Callithrix jacchus: one gene and its partner. The protein of the gene in region 1 interacts with the protein of each later gene in a biochemical or structural test. Links are inferred from orthologs where the notes say so. Each region holds a gene or a part of one and is shown in the gene's direction. Other genes may lie near its edges.

Evidence for each region.
Region 2: the proteins of RPS6KA3 (region 1) and PEA15 form a complex in vitro, tested with the Homo sapiens proteins (2 studies listed by BioGRID). The link is inferred for Callithrix jacchus from reciprocal best matches to the Homo sapiens genes RPS6KA3 and PEA15.

The regions. Positions count from the first base shown.
Region 1 is NC_133524.1:20,690,689-20,694,499, reverse strand, and holds part of RPS6KA3 (ribosomal protein S6 kinase alpha-3), read left to right. Parts: intron 1-162; coding exon 163-227; intron 228-304; coding exon 305-407; intron 408-1,360; coding exon 1,361-1,485; intron 1,486-3,451; coding exon 3,452-3,577; intron 3,578-3,811. UniProt on the Homo sapiens protein: Serine/threonine-protein kinase that acts downstream of ERK (MAPK1/ERK2 and MAPK3/ERK1) signaling and mediates mitogenic and stress-induced activation of the transcription factors CREB1, ETV1/ER81 and NR4A1/NUR77, regulates translation through RPS6 and EIF4B phosphorylation, and mediates cellular proliferation, survival, and differentiation by modulating mTOR signaling and repressing pro-apoptotic function of BAD and DAPK1.
Region 2 is NC_133519.1:20,158,011-20,162,362, forward strand, and holds the start of PEA15 (astrocytic phosphoprotein PEA-15), read left to right. Parts: upstream 1-1,462; 5' UTR 1,463-1,611; intron 1,612-2,954; 5' UTR 2,955-3,043; coding exon 3,044-3,152; exon of another isoform or gene 3,153-3,312; intron 3,313-4,051; exon of another isoform or gene 4,052-4,245; intron 4,246-4,352. UniProt on the Homo sapiens protein: Blocks Ras-mediated inhibition of integrin activation and modulates the ERK MAP kinase cascade. Inhibits RPS6KA3 activities by retaining it in the cytoplasm. Inhibits both TNFRSF6- and TNFRSF1A-mediated CASP8 activity and apoptosis.

The DNA.
Region 1 (3,811 bases):
CTGCAGTAAGCTGAGATTACACCACTGCACTCCAGCCTGGATGATAGAGCAAGCCCTTGTCTCAAAAGTAACTAATTAATTAGGCAAGTATTGAAAGCAAAGGCTGAACAATATGTATATTTCTCCTTGAGATAAAATTACCAATGAATCCATTTTTGATAGGTGCAGGACCAGATGGAGTTGAAGAAATTAAAAGGCATTCATTTTTCTCAACAATAGACTGGAATGTAAGTATAGAATGAAAACTTGCTTGAAATATTTCATTAGAATTAAAATATATCTAAGTCTCTTTTTTTTCCTCCAGAAACTGTATAGAAGAGAAATTCATCCACCATTTAAACCTGCAACGGGTAGGCCTGAAGATACATTCTATTTTGATCCTGAGTTTACTGCAAAAACTCCAAAAGGTAAGGAGAAAATGTGAAAATACAGATATAAGATAACAAATATATTTTTTTTCTTGTTCAATCAGAAAATCTTTTCCAGACTCTGGGCACAGTGGCTCACGTCTGTAACCCCAGCACTTTGGGAAGAAGGCCAGGCAGGCGGATTGCTTGAGGCCAGGAGTTCGAGACCAGCCTGGCCAACATAGTGAAACTCTGTCTCTACTAAAATATAAAAATTAGCCGGGTTTGATGGCATGCGCCTGCAATCCTGGCTACTTGGGTGGCTGAAGTACGAGAATCCCTTGAACCCGGGAGGTGGAGGTTGCAGTGCATCAAAATCACACCACTGCACTCCAGCCTGGGTGACAGAGTTGCACTCGGTCTCAAAAAGAAAAAATGCAAACCTTTTCCAGGATAACCTTTATGCTATCTTCAAATCTCCTAAATTTGCTGTAGATCCACCTTGTCTCCCCTGTTCCACCCCAGCTGGGTTATTATTGAGGGCCGCAGTGTCTAAAATGGTAGCCAGTAGCCACATGTAGCTAATTAAATTTAAATTAATTAAAATTTAAAATGTAGTTTCTCAGTCACACTAGGCACATTTCAAATGTCAAAAAGCTGCATGAAGCTAGTGGCTATCATATTAGACTGTAAAGATAAAATTTCCATCATTTCAGGAAATTCCATGGGACAGCATTAATTTTGAATATCATTAACCCTATAATTCATCAATTAATTCTTCAAATGAATTAGCTATTTTCTAGGCTCCAAGGGACTAGGATGTTGGTGTTGTAATGGCAATACACAATCAGAAAAGATCTGATACAGTACCTCACAGGTATCCTGGAAAGCAAGAGGTATATACTGTGTACCTGAGAAACAGAATTCCAGAATAAGTGAAAAAGGTCATAGTGTCAACAGTTTTTCCCTTAGTTACCTTTCAAATGAATCTTGTCACTTCTTACTCTTTTCAGATTCACCTGGCATTCCACCTAGTGCTAATGCACATCAGCTTTTTCGGGGGTTTAGTTTTGTTGCTATTACCTCAGACGATGAAAGCCAAGCTATGCAGACAGTTGGTGTACATTCAATTGTTCAGGTGAGTGGATGTCTAAATAATTTTAGATTTGGAATGTTGTAAGATATAGTTCATTCTGTGAATAATTAGATTTTTTTCTGCTGACTTTAAATGAGCAATTTAAAATACATTTTAGACTGGGTGCAATGGCTCACACTTGTAATCCCACCATTTTGGGAGGCCAAGGTAGGTGGATCACTTGAGGTCAGGAGTTTGAGACCAGCCTGGCCAATATGGTAAAACCCTCATCTCTACTGAAAATACAAAAATGAATTGGACGTGGTGGCGCACACCTGTAATTCTGGGTACTCAGGAGGCTGAGGCACAAGAATCACTTGAACCTGGGAGGCGGAGGTTGCAGTGAGCAGAGATTGCACCACTGCACTCCAGCCTGGGTGACAGAGTTGAAACTCTGTCTCAAAAAATAAAATAAAATAGAATTCATTTTATATCATTAACTTTACTCTTTGAAATTTTTTTCATTTATCATCGAAAAGGTTGCAAGAGCCAAAATCCTAGATACCTATGTCACTTGAAAATAGAGTTGAGCTGTTTTATTTATGTCCTCTCCTGTGCCTCAAAATGTTTTTCATGCTGAGTTTGTTTCACCCTTTGCCTCCATCAGGTCAGCTATGGTGAATTGAGGTCTTCTGGTTCTTTGATGCCTTAGAACAGGGGTCAGCAGACTTTCTCTGTGAAGGGTCAGATTATATTTGAGGCTTTGTGGGCTATATGGGCTCTGTCACAACTACTCAACTCTGCTATGTAGCACAAAGAAGCTGCAGACAATACATAATTAAGTGGACATGGCTGTGTGCCAATAAAACTTTATTTACACACACAGGCAATAAATCAGATTTGGCTCAGTGACCATAGTTTGGCAATGTTTGCCTTAGAAAGATACAAGAAATAAAAATGAACTCAAATCTTAAGTCATCTTTCTAATCAAAGGGAACTAGATATATGTTTTGAAGCAGTGGATTGTTTTTAGTATATAATTTGTACTTGGATTTGCTTGATGATTAAGTTGCTTTTGCTCTAAAGATTTTTCATGAGTCAGTTACGCTGCTTTCCACTTTGTAGAAAACCAATTAAAACACTGGTTTTTAAGCAGAGCTCATGTTGGAATAGTCTGTGCCATTCACTATGCAAGCACATGAATGTATGGCAACTTTTTAAATTATAAATTCTGTACCTAACATAGAAACCACAAACTTGTATATTCTACAGAATTCAAGTTTTAATGCATAGTATACAAAGCTCATGGGCATGGAGGTCTCATATCAGTATAGCAAAGGGCAGCACAACTTTCCTCAGCCTGTTTATGGAATCAGTAAGTTGCTGTTTATCATCTGCTGTATATGTTATTAGTCCCTAACCCATGACCAGCTTCTTTAGCAGAAATTGTATAAAGCTATGACTTCAGGGTGAAGAAGGGAGGGTGTGGCTACTGAAAGTCCAAAATGCGCTAATAAGTATTGCTTGCAAATACATTGTTTTATTTAATCTTCAGCATTACTCTCTGAGAAAATACAGGCTCAAAGTTACACAGCCTGTAAGTGGTACATCTGAGACAAGAATTCAGATGTTCTAATTCTGAATCCTCTTAAATCCTTTTCTTCTATACATAGGTTTCAAACCTCTCATTTGCAAAGGTGCTTGAAAACTTATAGCCAATTCAGAAGTGGAATGAGGCTGAATCACAGACAAGGATATAGGTCTCACATCAAGTAGCTCTGCTTTTTCTATTGTGCAAATTCAATTTTTATTTTTAACATAAGCTTTTTTAAGGCACATTTCTTCCTGTACATTTCATTAGTAAACACTTCCAAAATCACTTATAGAAGAATAAGTACTATAAAGATGTATTTATTCTTACTCATTTATATGTAGAGCGTCAACAATGCATGCTGAGTAACATTCTTCCCTATTATAAAATGCACTAAAGGTATTATGGGACTCTTCACCAATTTATAATTTTTTGTAGCAGTTACACAGGAACAGTATTCAGTTTACTGATGGATATGAAGTAAAAGAAGATATTGGAGTTGGCTCCTACTCTGTTTGCAAGAGATGTATACATAAAGCTACAAACATGGAGTTTGCAGTGAAGGTAAATATTTTTTATTTAAAATCTAAGTTGTACAGTTATTGTTAATGCATGTCAGTACCAGTTAAAAATTACACTCATTGTTAAAAATGTCTTTTATTATAAAAAAAATTAAATTTAAATATCTGGCTAGTGATATTCAGAGACCTTAATCTATCTAGAGCCCTATAAGCTAAAGGTAAGGTGGTTATACATCTAGTTTGCCCAGAGTAGTACCAGTTTACACCTCAAGTGATT
Region 2 (4,352 bases), on another chromosome or scaffold:
AGTATTACAATAATATTGTTGGCTCTCTAGCATAGGTCAGTGGAAGGCCCTGGTCTAAATAATGGCTCCTATTTTTTAAGCACCCATCTGTGCCAGTCCCTAGAGACTTAAGTATTTCTGAATCTTGGAAGAACCCTCAGAAATAGGCACTGGCACCCTCATCTGACCAGCGAGGACGCTAAGGCTTCAGGTATAACTTGTCCAAGGAAGGGGTGGAGCTAGCACACACCCAAGGCCCAGTGTCTTGTTGTCTCCAGACCCGAGCCTTTCACTTAGAAACTACAAGGAAATAGCTTTTGAGCAAACACGATATATACAAAGGCAAATGATTACGGTGTGCCAGGGAATGCTAGGGAGAGGAAACGGCAGAGAAAGGCTGTGAAGCCCACAGCAGCAGGAACTTGAGCCTCTTCTAGGAGTGGTGTGGACCAGAGAAAGGAGGGGCTCATCGGAGGTTTCTGGAGGAGTCTCCACCAGGTTGAAACTAAGGCGAGATGGGGTGATCCTGTAAGTGGCACAAACACTGAGAGGATCCCCCAACCTGGGCCTGCTGGAGTTCTTGGCAGGAAAGACCCACCCCGGGACAGAATTATTTCCAGGGCCAAACCCTGCCCAGAGCTGAGGCAGAACCCCTTAGGCTAGAGATGAGGGTGAAAACAGATGCTTCTCCAATTCTCCCTTTCCTCTTTCAATCTGGCTGAGAGTCTGGGGGAGGAAAGTCCCTGGGGTAGAGGGGAAGTGAGAGCTGCCACAGTGGGCCTGGGCAGAGGGGCAGAACTAGGAGACGGAGCTAAGTGTGGCTCTGCAAGTTGTCTATATTTGCATGCTGAGCTCACTGCTGCTCTTTTTCTCCCCAGAAAATAAAATTACATCATGGTAGGGGGAAGGCAGGAGTGGGGCATGTTTGGGAAAGGTGAGAGGAACACAAGAGGCCCTGCAGGCATCACCCTGGAAAGAGAAGATCCAGGGCTCCTCAAGTCCCTATGTGGCCCGGACCCCCCTACCTTCACTCCCAACGTGGATAAGTCTGATCAGTCATTTACCACGGCGCCCCTGACCCTTAAGGCAAGGAAAGAAGTTTTTACAAATACCAAAGCCGGCAACTAAGAGAATCCAGTCCCCAAAGGCTTTCCAAACCCCTTAACTGAACTTATTCTGTGCTTCCCAGGGGTCCTAGCCACCGTGGTCATCCAAAGGTCAAAAGGGGAGTAGGGTGCCCTGCTGGGAAGGAATTAAATATGAGGATTGCTTCGCAGTTCAGGGGGAAGAGTCCGCCTGTGCTCCAGCCCTCCGCCCAATTCTGTCCCCATCCTAGGAGTCTTCCAGAACCCCAGCCCCTCGGTCCCCCGCCCCCTCCTGCCTCCCCCCTCCCCCCCCCCACGCCATTCCCCGCCCCCCGCCCCTCCCCGGCTCTGACATCACCGGCCAGCCGGGTGGAGTGAGCGGCGCTGGGCTCGGGCTCGGGCTCCGCGGGCGGAAGAGGCGGCGGCGGCGGCGGCTGAAGCGGCGGCGGCGGCGGCGGCGGCGGGAGCCGAAGAGGAGGTTCCGGACGCTGCTCGGGAACCGGGGACTCAGGAGTGCCCGCGCCCTGAGCGCTCAGCTCCAGAGGCGGTGAGAGGGGCGGGGAGGAGACGTGTTGCGGGAAGGGGCAGATGTGGAGGTCTCGGCTTGGAGGGGCGACGACCCGGGACACCGGGGGCCGGACGGGGAGCGCGGGGACCCCGGACGGGTCCGCCTGTGTCAGTCAGGCCCCACGGGGTCCGTCCCGTGGTCGGTGCGTCCCGAGCGCCGAGCGTGTGCTGGAGGCGGCGTGGCTCCGGCCAGCCCGGCCACGCTGAGCTGCGGCTCGGGAGTCGGACCGGGGCCTGGGGATTAGGATGCAGCCTGCTTCCCGCCCAGCCGGCTCGGCCAGGCCGGCGCCCGCCCCTCCCTCCCCGCCCTGGCTTCGGACTCGCCTCCCTGGCGGTCTCTCGGCCCAGCCCTGTCTCGGTTCCGCGGACGGCTGGTACCGTGTGCCCTCACCCCCGGCCCGCTGCAGCTGGGGTAGAGGTGGGCTTGGCGGAAAGCTTGTCCAGAGGGAAGGAGGAGCTGGGGGTGTAGAGGAGTGATGTATCTAACGGAAAAACCCTTATTAATTTCATAGAATCCGTGTCAAAACTGACAAGGAAACACGCACACCTATAAGGCACGCCAGCACACACAGTGACACACAGCCATGTGACTTATACACATCGTCTAGCACACTTCAAATCACAAACGTCCCTGCACTACGCATCCGGCCACCCACCACACCCCCACTCTGTGGGGTGGGGCATCCCACGAGGAGTCTTCTGAACTGCGGGTTCCAAGTCATCAGTCCAGCAGGACAGCTGAGTGGACAGAAAGGGCCACTGTCCCCAAGTCCATCCTGATTTTCTGACAGCTTTTCCCAGCCCCTGGCTGCAGATTGTTCCTCTTTAAAAACAGTGGGGAAAGATAGGAGAAAATCTTAGTATCATTCCTCTAAAACAAGGAGACAGGATTTTGGGGGCTAATGAGAGTAGGGGCTTCTGGTGGCCTCTCTTCCTGGGTCCAGTTAGGGTTTAGGGTGCTGGGAGTGGCTAGTTTCTGGGTAAGAGTGGCCAAGGGATGGAGGAGGAGGGGGTGGAAGAAATGGAGAGGAAAATGAGTATGAGTCAGCCAAGAATGGAGCCCAAGTCAGAGAGAATGAGAGGAATGTGTGTGAGAAGCAGACAGACATCTCCAGAGAGGTCCAGAGATAGTCAGGGAACCAGGGAGAGGGAGGAAGTGAGAGACGGAGATGGTCAGAGAAGTGCAAAGAGTGCTGGAGAATGGACTAAACACATTAGGGAGGGTGAAGGTGGGGGGAACCACTGGGAGTTAGGGAAAGAGGTTTGTGTGTCTGGGCCCCAGGCTGTCAGAGCGATTAGCTTTAATTGCGCTTCCCTTTGTAGTTAAATACTCCATTGGGGAAATTGCCAGTGATGCCCCAGGCTGCAGGCTTCCCTGGTCGCCTACTTCCTCACTTCCGTGCCTGTCGTGTATGCATGTATTATCATGTATGAAGAGGGTCACGGAATCACAGCGCCTCACTCACACGGACCCTCACAGATCCTCATGCGCAGTGTCACGATGGATATCTTCACCAGCTGGTAGGCAGCCAACCACTGAATCTCCAGGCCACTCCCACCAAACTTGTGTTTTGTGTAGCAGGGATGCTCACCCCTTCCTAATTGTAGCTCTGAGTATTCAGATGGGAAAGCACAGATCTCAGAAGTCCTACATATTCATGGCTACTGCTAAGTTGGATAGGTGAGTAGGACATGCTAGAAGGGGTAAAAGCCTATAGAAAGGAAAGGAGGAATAGAGAGACTGAAGGATTAGGGGGAAAGGATATGGATGATGAAGGGAGATGGAGAGAAACGGAAATAGAGGCAGGGAGGGCCAGAGCAGAAGAGCGGAGAGAGAGGTGGGCTGGGAGAGTCATAGGCCCCATTCCCTTCCTCCTGATGCCCCATCCTGGGTCTGGCTCTTCTCTAGACTAAGGGCTGAAGGCTAATCCCTGTCCCCATGCCCACAGGTAATCCATGTTCCTTCTTGGACTGAAGTGAACATTTGGGAGCCCAGGGGTCCTGCCTCTCCTCACTTCCAGGCTGACCCTCGAGCCTGAGAACCCCCAATTTCCTTGTTACAGGAATAAAGACAGCCCCCCAGTAAAGCTGGATAAAAGCTTAAAGAATAAATCAATTAAGTATGATATTAAAGAAAATAAACTATAGGACTGCTTTAATTTGGGGCCCAGGTATAATTTAAAATAGGAAAGCTGAACCCCTACTCTCTCCCTTCCAACCCCTCTGCCTCTCGTGATTACTTCCAGCTTCAGGCAAAAGACTGACAGACTTGAGTGCCTGGAAGTCCCCTCCTGCCCAATACAGGGACCTCTAGCTGAGGGGTGGGATGGCCCCTCCCCTCAGCCTGAGGCAGCTGCAACAGATGTGGAGGAGGGAGGGGTGCAACTCCTAATCTTCAGGCTTCCTTCTCAAATTCACAGAGGATTTGGAACCAAACATTAGAGAGAAGGGATAATCTACCACCACCTATTGTCAAAAGGCACAGAAATTCTTTTCGTGCTGCCGCCTCCTCCACAGGTGGTTATCCCAATTGCCAGGCTTCTCAAAGCACTGGCAGGGCCCAGCTCTTCTTACCCCAGTGCCCATGGAGCTCCCACCTGCCCCACCCTAAAAGGTCAGTATATGATGATCCTTACCTCCTGCCCCTCTTCCCCAGCATCCTCAGTTGGTTTGACCTTTGTCAGGGTTGTGCCGGGGGCCAGCTTGGAAGGAGAGGGAGGC